Linked DNA regions of Sus scrofa. The protein of the gene in region 4 purifies or fractionates together with the protein of the main gene of each other region. This does not show direct contact. Links are inferred from orthologs where the notes say so. Each region holds a gene or a part of one and is shown on either strand. Other genes may lie near its edges. The genes, in order: ARPC1A, CHURC1, CORO1C and ACTR2.

Region 1 (3,564 bases), about 70 Mb from region 4:
GGAGGAAAAGCTCATAACTATTTCACTTTTTTTTTTTTTTTTTTGGCTATTTCTTTGGTTTTTCATCTTAGCCCTTTCTCTTTTAAAGTATTTCCTAATGCTGAAATTCCAATTTAAAATATGAGTGTTCTTCAGACTTGTGGTTGAGAGGGAAGGGAGTGGGATGGACTTGGAGTTTGGGGTTATAGTACATGCAGACGATTCCATTTGTTGCGTTCTCGCTATGTTATTATGTTTATGTTAAGTTCCCCTTACGGCTCAGAGGGTTTGATCCTGGCCTTGCTCAGTGGGTTAAGGATCCAGCGCTGCCATGAACCATACGTCACAGACGAGGCTTGGCTCTGGTGTGGCTGTGGCTGTGGCTATCAGCTGCAGCTCTGATTTGACTCCTAGCTGTCTGGGAACTTCCATATGCTGTGAGTGCAGCCCTAAAAAGCAAAAGCAAAAAAAAAAAAAAAAGGATAGGCAGTGGGGTCTTACTGTATAACACAGGGAACTATATCTCATCTCCTAGGATAGAACACGATGGAAGATAATATAAGAAAGAGAATGTGTAAGTATGACTGTGCTGTATAGCAGAAAATAGCACAACACTATAAATTAACTATACTTTAATAAAAAAATTTCCAAAAAAGGAATAAATAAATAAATAAATAAAGTGTTCTTATTTTTAGGCTGTAAGGCCACTGGCAAAGGGACTTAAAGAAAACAGGCCAAATCTAATGGAAATAAGGTCATGGGAAAGGAACAGTGACAAAAATAGAAGTTATGTCTTTGGTGCTGGTTTGGTAATAGAGTTAGTTGGCCCCCAACGAGCATCACAAACAAATCCATGGTAAAACCAAGAAGGGACGGTCATGAGTTTTTTGCTGGGGATACAATGAAAAGGTGCAGAGGGTCAAAACATGAGGTTTTTTTTTCTGATGGGGAGGAAGAATATTTTTAAACTAACTAGTATGTTGGGGGTTACAGGCAAAACTCCAGGGTCCCAATTAAAGTTTAAAAAATTACTGGAGTTCCTGCTGCAGTGCAGTGGACTAAGAATCGGAATGTAGTGGTTCGGGTGGCTGCAGAGGCACGAGTTCAATCCCCGGCCTGGTACAGTGGGTTATAGGATCTGGTGTTGCTACACCTCGGGTGTAGGTCAGCCGCAGTTCGGATTTAATCCTTGGCCCAGGAACTTCCATATGCTGTGGGTGTGGCCATTTAAGAAAAAAATAAGGAATTCCTGTTGTGGCTCAGTGGTAACTAACTTGACTAGTATCCATGAGGATGTGGGTTCAATCCCTGGTCTTGCACAGTGGGTTAAGGATCCAGTGTTGCTAAGTTGCAGACACGGCTTGGATCTGGCGTTGCTATGGCTGTGATGTAGGCCGGCGGCTGCAGCTCTAATTCAACCCCTCACCTGGGAACTTCCACATGCCGTGGTTGCAGCTCTAAAAAGACAAAATAAATAAATAAATACATAAATAAGAAAAAAAGAGTAAAGAACAAGTTTTCAATGTGCTTGGCCAAACTGTTTACAGAAGGGGTTGAATCACCGAGCCAGAAAATAGGATAAAAAAGAAATTATAGCAGTAAGGGTCAAAGAACAAGAGTTCTTCCTGAACATAGCAGTAAGTTCATGGGGTTTTTTTGTTTGTTTTTTTGCCTTTTCTAGGGCCGCACCCTCAGCATATGGAGGTTCCCAGGCTATGGGTTTCATGGGAGCTGTTGCCGCCAGCCTACGCCACAGCCACAGCAACGCAGGATCCGAGCTGTGACTGCGACCTACACCACAGCTCACGGCAATGCTGGATCCCTAACCCACTGAGCAAGGCCAGGGATCGAACCCGCAACCTCATGGTTCCTAGTTGGATTCGTTAACCACGGAGCCACGACGGGAACTCCCCTCCCCTTCTATTTATTGATAGTTTTTGTCAAAGCTGAAAGGTACTGTACAACATAGGAATCTGCCTCAGTCTTCGAGAAATCGACCAGAAAAAGATAAAACTCAATGGGAAAATGGTTAGGAGTTATGAAAAGTAAAGTCACAAAAAAGAGAACCCAGATGGCTGATAAACATCTGCTCCACCTTGCGATTCATCAGGGAAATGCCACTTACCGAGAGACCACTATTCACTCATCAGACGGTGCAAGCCTGTGTGGGACGCGGGAGGATAAACACTCCTGCTCAGAGCTGGGAGGATGGGGCCATCAGATGGCGCCCCTCCAGGCTGAAGACGTGCACACGCCCGAGGCACCCCAAGTCTCCCAGAGACAAACATTCACACACAGAGGGAGACCTGCCCAGGGACGCCTAATTTAGTACTTCCATGGAACAAGGGAAAAGTGGAAACAACTTAAATGTCCTTCAACGGAGCAAAGAGTAAGTAAATGAGGTAAGAATGCTAAGCAGTGGGTTGGAAAGGAATCACCTTGCTCTGGATACGCCTACTTACAGAGAGCTCAGAAACAGTGTCAAAGGAAGCTGCAGGAGAGGAATGATATGATGCCATTTATGCAGTATTTAAAAATAGGAGCCAATAGTACCAAAGCTTGTTCACACACACACACACACACACACACACACACACACACACGAGAGACAATGTCATCCCAAATTACAGACTGCCTTCTGGGGGAGAAGGACAGGACTGGTGCCTTTAATCATAAGGAACAATACTCCTTATGATTAAATCGTTGTTTCCTAAGTTTAGTTTTCTGGCACAGGAAAAAAGATAAGCAGCTGCTAATTCTGGGTGGCAGGGATACAGGTGTTTGTCACATCACTCTTTGTCCTTTTCAATATTTTGGAATGTCTTCTTCGCCCCCAAAACAGCACCCAGGAAACTTTTGGAAGACACTGTGTTCCCTCGGGACTTGGGAACACAGCTTGGCTTGCGGTTTCCCACAGCTGACCTGCTGTCTGGTTTCCGCTTTCACGTCTCCTCTCATCTAAGCTCTTTAGTCCCCAGAGCAGGTTCAGTGTTTTCCGTAACAGTAGCAGAGCCTGTGTAAGAGCTGGGTTTCCGGATGCCCTTAGAGACTGAGATCCCTATCATGGTATTTTCTCACATTGTCTAAAGAAAACTCAGGAAATGCTGCACAACCTGAAATGTTATGGCAGCCTATTGGGCTCTTCATGTAAAGAGAAGACTGCTGAACTTGGAGACAGCACAAGCTCACGGCCATCTTCCCTTACCTGTGATGTGTCCGTTGTGCTCCTTGAGTTCGTGAGCTTTCACCCACTGGCTCCCATTCTTCTTATATATGTGGACTTCATGATTATTGGGGCTAAGGGCAATCTCTGGAGAAAAAAGTGAATGAACTTGAAATTGTCACCAAAAAAGGCACATTACAGCTGGCATTTTAAAAACAGACTGAAGGAGGGGATAGGAAAGTGGTTTTGGAAAACAGTTCCATAAGCTCCTGCTGTGGTGCGGTGGGCTAATTATCTCCCCACTACAGTGGGTGTGTCTCTGTAGAGGCTCAGGTTTGATCCCCGGCCCAGCGCAGTCAGTTACGGATCTGGTGTTGATGTGGCTGTGGCTCAGGTTCAATCCCTGGCCTGGACTTCCACAT
Region 2 (3,564 bases), on a different chromosome or scaffold from region 4:
CTGAGACTACAGAGTTGCTCAACTCCACATGCCTACTGGGGAAATAGAGATAACTTCCTTAGCACAGTTTCCATGCTTAGCAAGGATGGTGGCAGTGGGCAGGCTAACACTTAAAGCCAACAACTGTGCAATCACATAACTGGGTGGAGAAAAAAGGGGCATGATGGTAACCTCCTAAGAAGTCATAAAGTACTAGCTTTTTATAAGCAAAAATGACAGGACTGAGATATCATTTGTAAGACATGTATTGTGCTTTGTGACTCTGTGACGACAAGTTTGAATGGATCTACCCACATCTAAAATATCTCTCAACTTACACAGGTAGAAGACAAGGTTGGTCTCCTCTAGTATTTGCTAGCACTTCATTTACGAAGACTGTACCTAGATTTTTCAAGAGTATTTTTATTATCCCCCTTCCCCACAATAACATACCAAATAACGGACCCGAAATTCTATATTTACCTGAAATTCATCCATGATACTGAACGTATACTCATGCCTGGCTATGACATGATGACAATTCTTACACAGATCTGCCGAAAAAGAGAAATATTTAAATAATTAAGTCTTGGAAGGTGTCTTAAGACAGTAAAATTTCTATTCTTTTTTTTTTTTTTTTGCTTTTTAGGGCCGCACCTGTGGCATATGGAAGTTCCTAGGCTAGGGGTTGAATTGGAGCTGCAGCTGCCAGCCAACACCACAGCCACACCAACGAGGGGATCTGAGCAGCATCTGCAACCTATACCACAGCTCGTGGCAATGCCAGATTCCTCACCCACTGAGTGAGGCCAGGGATTGAACCTGCATCCTCATGGATTCTAGTCAGATCTGTTTCTGCTGTGCTATGAAGGGAACGCCTTAAAATTTCTATTCTTAACACGGCATTGCTTTAAAAGAATCTTAACTCTGTCATATTTAACACAGCGGGAAACCCATATCTACCTTTTCTCCCCCTTTATTTTTTAACTCAATGAATTTTATTACATTTATATTTGTACAATGATCATCACAACCCAATTTTATAGCATTTCAAACCCCCAACTCATCCCCCCACCCCCCAACCCATATCTACCTTGATAAGAAATCCAAAATCCATCACACAGCAATACTATATCATTAAGGTCCTGAACTCAGAGACTAAATGCGCATAAATTAATTCTCACTGAAAGCTCTCTAAGGTAATCAATTAAAAGATATGTACATGTTTTATGGGAGTTCCCACTATGGCACAGTGGAAATGAATCTGACTAGTACCCATGAGGATGTGGGTTCGATAGGTGAGTTAAGGATCCAGTATTATTATGGCTGTGGTGTAGGCTAGCAGCTGGAGCTCTGATTCAACCCCCAGCCTGGGAACTTTCATATGCCTAAGGTGTGGCCCAGGGGAAAAAACAAAGCAAAAAACAAAACAACAAACAAAAGATATATACATGTTTTTTAAACTAGCTGGACCTATTTATGTAAAACCTTTTATTCTCAGCAATACTAGAAATTGTGCTACTAACTAATCATAAACAAAAAGCCAATGCTAGACATTAAAGTGAAATTAGGAGTTCCCGTCCTGGCTCAGGGGTTAGAGAACCCGACTAGCACCCACAAGGATGCGGGTTTGATCCCTGGCCTTGCTCAGTGGATTAAGGACCTAGTGTTGCCGTGAGCTGTGGTGTAGGTCAAAGATAAGGCTCAGATCCCACATTGCCATGGCTGTGGTGTAGGCCAGCAGCTGCAGCTCTGATTGGATCCCTAGCCAGGAAACCTCCATATGTTGTGGATGCGGCCTTAAAAGACAAAAAGACCAATAAATAAGTAAATAAATAAAGTGAAACTAACAGTTAATAAAACGCTAATAAAAACATATAATAACTATAATTTACTGAGTGCTTAATGTGTGCCAGATACCATTTTAAATACTTTTTATCTGTCCATTCACTTAGTCTTCTCAACTCAAAGAGGTAGATACTATTGTTATCACCTTCCTAGGGATAAGGAGACACAGGTACACTGGGTAACTGAGAAGACTACCGAGCTAGCAAGTATTGGAACCAGAATTCAAACCCAAGCTTTCTAGCTCCAGAGCCCTTGCTCTTGACCACTGTGCTTTCCTACATGGAACAAAATAGAGTTTAAAGGGGTATCTGTTAAAACAAAGAAAATGATTCTTCTCATTTAGAACCTTTTTCCATATGTCTTTCACTTCTTTCAAAATATCATTATTTGCACATTTATTCCTCATATATATTCAAAACCAAAAAAAAAAAAAATCCAAAAAAAATAGGGGACAAGCAAAAAGGAAATTCGAACAGTTTAAATAGTCGCCACGATCTCTGGGCACTAAAGTAAACATATACTTAATTTACTCATAGAGATTCTCAGTGCCAACCTCAGAACTGATTTATTTTTTATTATACGAAGTCATTTATTTGATTTCCCAGTATCAGGGATGAGGAACAGCATATGAAGGTAGCCTATTTACAGCAGCCAAGGAAAAAAACTATAGACTGACCGTGAAAAAAGAAACAAAATGCTATAAAAGCAGAATCAAGACTGAAAAAAACCATACTATCCCAGGATCACTTAGTATAAGGCAAACATAAGCCCTAAACACTTTAATAGCTGTGGAGGCCATCATCATATTATACTATAGTAGAAAGTGAAAATTCACGTGGATGACTCTAAGGTTGAAAAAAAAAAGTCCCTCTATCTTGTTTCAGAAGCCATAAAGTCTTTAAAAATAAACAGGAGAGGAGTTCTCTTGTGGCACAGTGGGTTAAGGAACCAGCACTGTCATTGCAGTGGCCCAGGCTGCTGCTATTGTGTGCGTTTGATCCCTGGCCCAGGAACTTCCATATGCAACAGGCATGCCCCCCACTACCCCCCAAAAAAAACCCAGAAGAAAAGCTCGTGCCTGAATCATAAGCTTCAATTATCTGCAAAAGTCATTTATGTGGAATATCTGATGATGCTAGATTAATGAGGTATTCTTTCTGTTTTCCTCTTAAAAAACTAACTAGTAACTGTATTGCAATATGATATTGGAATAGACCTCATAATATTTTGCACAACCTAAGTCTCAAAAGCTGACACCTGCTAACAGACTTGGATGGAAAGAAGGCTACTTACGATCATAGGTAACTATTTCTTCTCCATCTTCCTCTTTGAAAGATTTGTTTGTGATCAGCATAAAATCCCGCTTATTGCATACTGCACAGCCTGTAAAGTTCAGCAAGAAAGATCCATTCTCCAGGCAGATGTTACCCTAAAATATGAAAAGCAGGCATTTAATTTTCTTATATTTCAAAATCCTTGGTGAAAATGATTAACAGACTTAAAATATCTAAAGGCAGGAGTTCCCGTTGTGGTGCAGTGGTTAACGAATCCGACTAGGAACCATGAGGTTGTAGGTTTGATCCCTGCCCTTGCTCAGTGGGTTGAGGATCTGGCGTTGCCATGAGCTGTGGTGTAGGTTGCAGACGCAGCTCGGATCCTGTGTTGCTGTGGCTCTGGCATAGGCCGGCGGCTACAGCTCCGATTAGACCCCTAGCCTGGGAAACTCCATATGCCACA
Region 3 (4,164 bases), on a different chromosome or scaffold from region 4:
GAGTGACTCTCCTATAGCTGGAGTGAATCTCAAAAGTGACAAACGTGTTAGCATAAAACCTAAATCAAAAAAATCCAAGCATTAAAAAAACAAAACGTCTAGGTATTTAAAAAGTTATCTGTCATGGGTGGGGGGCATGGGTGAAGGGAGTCAAGTACAAACTTCCAATTTTAAAATAACTAAGTCATGGGATGTAATGGATGCATGAGGACTATACTCAATAATAGTATACTGTATATTTGAAAGTTGCCAAGAGAACAAATCTTAGAAGTTCTCATCACAAAGAAAAATTATAACTTTGTATGGTGACAAATGGTAGCTAGACTTATTGTGGTGGTCATTTCACAGTGTACACAAATACTGAATTACTAAATTGAGCACTTGAAATTAGTATGATGTTACATGTCAATTATACCCCAATTAAAAAAAATGATACAGTAGCAATACACACCAAAAGTCCTATTTGTCAACTTGAAACTAATCCCAAATTATACATAAAAGTATTAGACACAACTGCTGATTAGCACAATCTGCAGGCAAAGTAACAAATGATCATGAAAAATTCAATACTGTATGCAGTGATATCTCATTGGTATGTGTCTATTAGACTCCATCAGGCTTTAATGCACTTTCCACAAATAATTAAAAACAAATATGGACAGAGCACATTCCGGGTATGTCAAAAAGGTGCATACTCAACCTTTATAATAATCTTTGTTCAATCCTCAGTACACAGAGACTAACATCTACTAAAAAAGACTGCACTCTGAGGTCTAATATACAATACAATTCCTAGCATGATTTCACTTTACCCTCCTATTTATTTAGGCAACCTCTCAGACCCAACAGTTACTATTAGGCTTCATATCCAAACACTGCGACCCTGAAATGTACCTCCAAGCCAAAAAAAAAAAAAAAAAAAAAAAAAAATTAGTTTCCTTAAATTAGTTTTCTGAAATATACAGAATCAAGTCCCAAATAAGACATTTCTCATTTCTTCGGTTTTATAGGAAATGCAGAAAGTGAAGTAACATGAACAGATATTTGCCTTCACAACTGAACAGATGGTACAAAACAACTGCTTATACTTAATCATGTTTCTGTCTATTCTAGCAAGCCCTGGTGTCAGGAGAGAGTTCTGCCAGATAAGGACAATGAAATGCATTATTATATAGAGTGACTAAGAGCCGTACAAGTACTGCTTTAGAATGTAATTCCAGGCAGGAAGGCAGTGGTGAGAGGGCCTAATATTTTGTGGTAACTATTTCCAAAAGTAAACACATTCGCCACCCAGTACCAGTTGACAAACACATACTATATTCAATTCCATTTAAATGTCTCATAGGAAAGAAAGGCCTTCGTATCTTGCTCTCCTGGGGGAGATGAGCAACTTGCAATTTGCTTCTTACACTGAATCCCACGTTTGCAACATGTAGAGCAAGGACTTCAGACACCACAAAACAAGGACAGCCTACATTAAGGCCAAATATAGGATGTGATTCTAAACCACGATGCAGTAAAGCTACGTTTCCTTTTCCAGAGACCAAAACCCTTTGAACACTCCCAAAAAAGGACGGCAGGGCCAGCGCCTCCCTCCAAGAGGAAGCCCCTTTCTTCTCGGCTCCCCCGCAGCCTGCCACTTCCCCCAACACATTCAAATCATTTGAGAGACGGAGAGCTGGTGCTTGCGCGCCCGTACGCACAGGCGGGAGGGCTCGGTTCTGCATTTCCACCCTCAACATCTGAGCTCATCCTCAGTCATTTAGGCGCAGCGGAGCCCCACCTGCACCGCGCTCCTTTTTGCTGCGTCCCTCGCCAGCTGCTCCGCTATTAGGGGAGCGTATCTCTGAATCCTGGGTCCAAGCGGACGCTCCAGGCCCCCGACCCTATAGCGTTCCAGCCCCGTTCTTCCTCTCCCAACCCTCGCCCCCTCCCAGCCCAGCGCTCCCACCATGGGCTTATCCTCTTCCCAAGCCGCCCCCACCCACATCACTCCAGCTCTTGCCCCGCCCCGCCCTCCTCGACCCCCAATCCAGCTATTAAGGGCCCAGAGCCCAGCTCGTACCCCAAAGTAGGAAACCCCCAGACCAGACCGCCGCCCTCGCCCCTCCTAAGCAAGGCCCAGCACGTCCCGGCCCCACGTGAGCCCAGCCCAGGGCCACCCCCCAACCCCCTAGCTCCCCAGGGCGACTCAAGCCCCGCCCCCAGGCCTGGAGCCCCCTGGCCCTGCGCCCTAGCCTCTGGCAGCCCCTCCCCACTCAAGACGCCACCCAACCAGGCGGATCCCTGACCCCTAAAAACCTCCCAGGGTAACCGAGTCCCTGCTCGGTTCCTCACCAGCCAGAAGGGTTCTGGGCCCCTAAAAGTCTCCCCTGGGCAGCTTCCTCACCATAAGGACCCGGGTTCACTCTCCCCATTCTGGGCACCTCGGTCCCCAACTCCTTTCCCAACCAAATCCCAAGGCTCCCGCAGCAGCCCCGACCCCTTGGCCCCAGCACACCCGCCCAAGCGGGCTCCTGGCCCAAGGATCCGCGCCGCGCGCGACCACTCCAGCTAACCCTGTCCTCTCCACCGGGCCCTGCCCCACGCCCCGCCGGCTCCTGTCAGCCAGCGCCAGCACATGCTGAGAGGACAGGGTCTGTCCGCCCGCCCAGCTCGTTCCCAAGCTGCCCCGCCGGGCGCGCGCAGCTCACCAGGGCCGAGGTGCCTGAGGCGCCGCCGCCGAAGTCCCCGCTGCAAAGCCCGGCGTAGCCTCCAACCGCTACCGCCTCCCGCCTGGCACTGAGCGCCGCGCGGGGGAGGGGCGCGGACAGCCGCCCCCGCCCCCGCCGCTGCACGCAGGCCCCGCCCCCGCGCCGCACCGCGTCCAACCAGGGCTGCCCGGCTACGGCGCGCCACGCCCACTTCCGGGAGGGGAAGCCCGCTTCCCAGCCTGTGTTCCACGCCTTACTCTCCCTAGCGCCGCTTCTGGTCGTGCCGAGGTATGCAGGTGGACCGCGGAGGAAGGCGGTGCCCAAGCGCACGCACCTCCCACTAGTCCTCTCAGTGGCCGAAAGGCCACGCCCACTGCTCCTCAGGACCAGGAGTGGTGTCCTTTAGAGCTCCGCCCACTGACCTGCTTGGCTCTGGAAGGCCACATCCCCCGGCTCCTCAAAAATTCCCCCCGAGTCTCTTAAAACCAGAACATCAGCTGCTGTGCACCCCGCCCACTGCCCCATCCAAACCCTTCGCCAGCCTCCTGGATCCCTAGGCCCAACTACTCTCTCATTCCTTCATAACCAGCCCCTTGTCGTCACAAACCCCACCCCAACTTCTAGAAGCCCCGCCCATAGCCTAGCAACCCTATTCGCGGTATCTCAAGTCCCGCCCACTGCCCGCTTTACAGCTTTAAAACTCCAAGCCCCGCCCAGAATTCTCGAGTCCCCGCCTCTGGTTCCCGAAGCTCCGCCTCTGCTGCCATTGCACCCTCCAACCACTTTTGTGGACTCCCGACGTTATGCTCCCCCTTCCACTATATTTGGTCACTTCGCTAGCACAAAGTGGGGGTCCCGGTGCTGTACCACACCAACATCCCCCACCACTACACAGGAGGGCCTTAAGGTCTTGACCCCATTTCGCAGGTGAGGAAATGAAGGATATAGGGTCCCTCCCTTCCTCTTCCTGGCCAAAGTCCCTCACTTAATAACTGGGCAGCCCAAGCTTAAAAGAGCACCGAGATTCTTTCTCTGCTGCAGTCAGACTGTGTATCCTGGGGCAGTTCCCTTCGTCCTCTTGGCCTGAATTTCTTCATCTATAGCATGAAGTTTTCCTCTTTATAACCAGAGATCATTTCTCAAAAACCAAGTTCTAAAATGCCAATATTTGGAGAAACTGGGCCTGATGAACTGAAATGACCAAGCAGACCATCTGAAAGGATAGGGCTTGCTTGCCCAAAGCAAGGCATCTTTGTTTTGTTTTTTAATAATTTTATTTTTTCCATTATAGTTGGTTTACAGTGTTCTATCAATTTCCTACTGTACAGCAAAGTGACCCAGTCACACATACGTATATATATTCTTTTTCTCACATTATCCTCCATCATGCTCAATCACAAGTGACTAGATACAGTTCCCAGTGCTATACAGCAGGATCTCATTGCTAATCCATTCTACAGGCAAGAGTCTG
Region 4 (4,094 bases):
CATAGTAACTGATCTTTCATCTTAAGGAACAAGATTCTTAAACTATGGATTAGACATAAGACTAATCAATAATAGAGTTCTAACACGGATAAACTAATGAAATAGGAACATAAAAAAGAGCTCATGATTAACATTCCCATTGCTAACAAATATTATGGAAAAAAACCTCATATACACTACAAAAATCAGGTTCACTGCCCTTCAAAGAGGAGGTGTCCATTCAAATATATCCATGTTCAATTTCTTTTTTTTTTTTTTTTGCTATTTCTTGGGCCACTCCCTCGGCATATGGAGGTTCTCAGGCTAGGAGTCAAATCGGAACTGTAGCCACCGGCCTACGCCAGAGCCACAGCAACACGGGATCCGAGCCGTGTCTGCAACCTACACCACAGCTCAAGGCAACGCCGGATCGTTAACCCACTGAGCAAGGGCAGGGACCGAACCCGCAACGTCATGGTTCCTAGTCGGGTTCGTTAACCACTGCGCCACGACGGGAACTCCTCCATGTTCAATTTCTAAAGAGAAAAGCTGACATATTAACAAGACAAAATATTTTAAACTCAGTTTTTGAAGATTTACATTTATTTACTTATTGCCACATATGCTACATGTCGAAGTTCCCAGGCCAGGGACTGAAACCTTGCCAAAGCCATGACCCAAACCACAGCAGTGACAATGCAGGATCCTTAACCCACTGTGCCACCAGGGAAGTCCCAATTTACATTTATTTAGAGGTCAATCTGAGACTACAATGGGCACCAGGCTAATATTTTTTAAATATTGCACCTTTAACTGAATTTGAACTGTAAAAGTAATACCTGCTTCTAGTTAATTTCATTTAAAGGTAGCAATATATGTTTTGTTAAAAAAAACAAGGACAGGAGTTCCCGTCGTGACTCAGTGGTTGGCGAATCCAACTGTGAACCATGAGGTTTCGGGTTCAATCCCTGGCCTTGCTCAGTGGGCTGGGGATCCAGTGTTGCCGTGAGCTGTGGTGCAGGAAGCAGACGCGGCTCGGATCCCGCCTTGCAGTGGCTCTGGCGTAGGCCAGCGGCTACAGCTCCGATTAAATCCTTAGCCTGAGAACCTCCATGTGCCTCGGGGAGTGGCCCTTAAAATGGCAAACCAAAAAAAAGACAAAAAAAAAAAAAAAACAACCACCAAGAACATTTTTCCAATAATTCAGAAGTCATGAAGTCCTTCCCACCTTACCTCACTCTCATTCCTAGTCTCCACAGGTAACTGCTATGAACATACATTTCTTATGAATCCCTTCAAAATTTCACATACACATACACATTTGTGGACACATAAATATTTTAATAAAGAGCACATAAATGGAATTGTGGTAAATTTTTTTTTTTTTTTTTTAAGGGCTGCCCCTGCAGCATATGGAAGCTCCCAGGTTAGGGGTTGAATTAAGAGTTCTGGCTGCCCCTCTACACCACAGCAATGCTGGATCCAAGGCGAGTGTACGACCTACTCTGCAGCTCATGGCAACACGGGATCCATAACCCACTGAGCAAGGCCAAGGATCAAACCCACATCCTCATAGATACTAGTCAGGTTTGTTACTTCTGGGCCAGGACGGGAAGTCTCTCTTATCTGTTTTTTAACTCAGTTCAGATAAAGTTGGTATAATTATTGCTTGTAAAAGACTGTAACAAATTCAATCAAGGTCAGTATTACTGAAGTGAATATCAGCTCTTCTTTCCCCTCAACAATCCAGTTTCCAAACTGCTTTAAAGTTGAAATAAAATCGATTTTAACTCACAATGTTACATTTATCGAAGGAAGGGGATAAGAGTCACAAAACATTGCAACTCCAAAATGATTAGAAATTTTTGTAATGTAGTGATCACTACAGAACTCATCTAAAATAAGTGACATTTTTGTCTTCTAATTTGCTAGTTTTGCTGCCCAAATACAATTTTTTAAATAAGGAAGAGGGCGATTGAATGAGACAACTTTCAAATTACTTGTCAGTGTTCCTCTCAGATTTTTACAATGATTTTCCTTTTAGAATCTTAAATACTAACATTATCTCATCCTTCAAGTAAGGAAAGAGAGGAGGAGGGGTACCCAAACTGATTAACTTCCCCTAAGGTTAGTGGAATTAATACTCGGGACTTCAGGGGTTTAAGATCATCCACTGAAACATGCTGGTCTCTGCGATGCTGCACCTGGGCCAAATTTCCAGCATGCAGAACAAAAAGTAAATGATTCGCTGCCGAACTGGCTTCCCCTACCCTCAGAAATCAAAATCCAAAAACCCAAAAGCTTCAAACACTACCAAAGGACTAGGGTTCATTGCATGACAGCACTTCCCTTTTTTCTTTAAACTCGTTTCCTGCCTCCCGTTCCGTATCTTCAACTACACAGGAAGAGGAAGGCCTCTTGGTCGTTCTCCTTTTTACATACCGGCGACCCTGGGGACAGGAGCCCTTCTGCAGCACACAAACCCAGCCTTTTACCCCCTCCGGCCCTTCAGCCAAATCGCCGCGGCTCAAGCGCAGAGCCGACCCCGGTGGGGCGGCAGGTGGGAACCCCATCCATCCCCCGCCAGCCTGGCCAGCCGTCTCGACCCCGAGATGCTGGAGTGGTGGGCTCGGGGACCCAAAGGGCCCCGCCCGCTCGCGCCCCACACCGCGGAGGCAGGAAGTGCTGTCCCGCGCCCCTGGGCTCCGGCTGCCGGGGGCCCAAAGGTGCCGCCCCCGGCGCCAAGGGCCCGCGAGCCGCCAGCACATCCCCGCCTGGGCCTGTGGCCGCCGTACCCTCCCCGCCGAGCGCTTACCCCAGTGCCGTTGTCACACACCACCACCTTCCTGCCCTGGCTGTCCATCGTCCACCGGAAAGAGCGCCTAAGCCGCCGCCGCCGCTGAACAACCTACAGCCGCCTCCGTCCGCCGGGTTCCTCTTCCTCCTCCGCCCTCTTCCCGGCCCCTCCTTCGTCCCAACTTTCTTCCCCCAACCGGAAGTGGCCGCCCGGCCCCGCCCGCCACCTAACAGACTGCCTGTGCGGAAGAGGTGGGGATGGGAGGGAGGAGGCAGATACTGGCAATGGCGAGCTCCAATAAGAAACAAAGAAGCCCGAGGCCCCGCCCACGTCGCCGGCTCCTCCTCTGGCTCCAGCTCCACCTTCACGGTCGCCGCCCGACCAGGTTCTTCCTGTCCTCGTCTTGTTACCGGCGCCTCCCGGGGCCGTAATGGTACCCCCAGGCTTCGCATGAGTTAAGGGCGCCGCTTACCCGGCTGCAGAAGGAGCAGGCAGACGAAGGACACCGGGTCCGTCGAGGGACGGCAGCGGGTTGTGATAGAGAAGCTTGCCAGGAGGGCGGGAGGCGGGAGTAAACCTAGACATTTTTGCTAACCCACCTTTGAACAAGGCTTGGTGTGTCATTGCTTTCTAGACCTTTTCAGTGGACAGAGCCGGGGTGGGTATACACACGTGAAATCATGCATTTATGCCAATTCCAACTCAACTCATATTTGCTCGATTCGCCTTTAGTAAAATGAGCGAAAGTGAGCCTCATCGATCACCACTTCCCTCCCAACAGCACCATGTTGCTTCGTACCTCTTCTGTGTCTGTACGTCTTTGAACCCAGAGTTTCTGTTTTGACATCAGACAATCCCATTTTCAAATATGGCCCTGCCACTCAAGAATTATGTGATCTGGGCATAGCCTTGTAAATGCATGGGGATAATAACATTTACTTCCATCAGTTGTGGAGATAAAATTCTGAGCAGAGAGTAAGCGTGTTCTACACTCTTAAACGTGAAGTTCTCTCTGTAGTGTCCCTACTTATTTCTTTTTAATCCATCAGAGGACTTCTCATGCTCTCAAACTCAGTAGTCACATCTTTGAAGACTTTACAGATAATCTTTGAGATGTTCTTTACTCTTTGCTGTTATTTTTCCAAGAATGTATTTATTGGACAAACGACATTACAATTCATCTAGAAAAAAGTCATCATTTTTGAGAGGTGAGGACTAGAATTGTGCCTTTCCTCCCTGTAAAGATATAATAAGACTAAAACTTGGATCATGAATCCCCAGTTCAGTATTATACTACTAGACTGCCTTTCAGTTTCAC

The links.
Region 1: the proteins of ACTR2 (region 4) and ARPC1A purify together in Homo sapiens (affinity purification with mass spectrometry; 9 studies listed by BioGRID and IntAct, counting the BioPlex papers as one, with this or other methods). This does not show direct contact. The link is inferred for Sus scrofa from reciprocal best matches to the Homo sapiens genes ACTR2 and ARPC1A.
Region 2: the proteins of ACTR2 (region 4) and CHURC1 purify together in Homo sapiens (affinity purification with mass spectrometry; 4 studies listed by BioGRID and IntAct, with this or other methods). This does not show direct contact. The link is inferred for Sus scrofa from reciprocal best matches to the Homo sapiens genes ACTR2 and CHURC1.
Region 3: the proteins of ACTR2 (region 4) and CORO1C fractionate together in Homo sapiens (co-fractionation; 3 studies listed by BioGRID and IntAct, with this or other methods). This does not show direct contact. The link is inferred for Sus scrofa from reciprocal best matches to the Homo sapiens genes ACTR2 and CORO1C.

What each region holds. Positions count from the first base shown.
Region 1 is NC_010445.4:6,302,694-6,306,257, reverse strand, and holds part of ARPC1A (actin-related protein 2/3 complex subunit 1A), read right to left. Parts: intron 3,290-3,564; coding exon 3,185-3,289; intron 1-3,184. UniProt on the Homo sapiens protein: Probably functions as a component of the Arp2/3 complex which is involved in regulation of actin polymerization and together with an activating nucleation-promoting factor (NPF) mediates the formation of branched actin networks.
Region 2 is NC_010449.5:88,991,516-88,995,079, reverse strand, and holds part of CHURC1 (protein Churchill), read right to left. Parts: intron 3,257-3,564; coding exon 3,121-3,256; intron 534-3,120; coding exon 463-533; intron 1-462. UniProt on the Homo sapiens protein: Transcriptional activator that mediates FGF signaling during neural development. Plays a role in the regulation of cell movement.
Region 3 is NC_010456.5:42,061,512-42,065,675, reverse strand, and holds the start of CORO1C (coronin-1C), read right to left. Parts: upstream 2,822-4,164; 5' UTR 2,694-2,821; intron 1-2,693. UniProt on the Homo sapiens protein: Plays a role in directed cell migration by regulating the activation and subcellular location of RAC1. Increases the presence of activated RAC1 at the leading edge of migrating cells.
Region 4 is NC_010445.4:76,726,256-76,730,349, forward strand, and holds the start of ACTR2 (actin-related protein 2), read right to left. Parts: upstream 2,843-4,094; coding exon 2,795-2,842; intron 1-2,794. UniProt on the Homo sapiens protein: ATP-binding component of the Arp2/3 complex, a multiprotein complex that mediates actin polymerization upon stimulation by nucleation-promoting factor (NPF).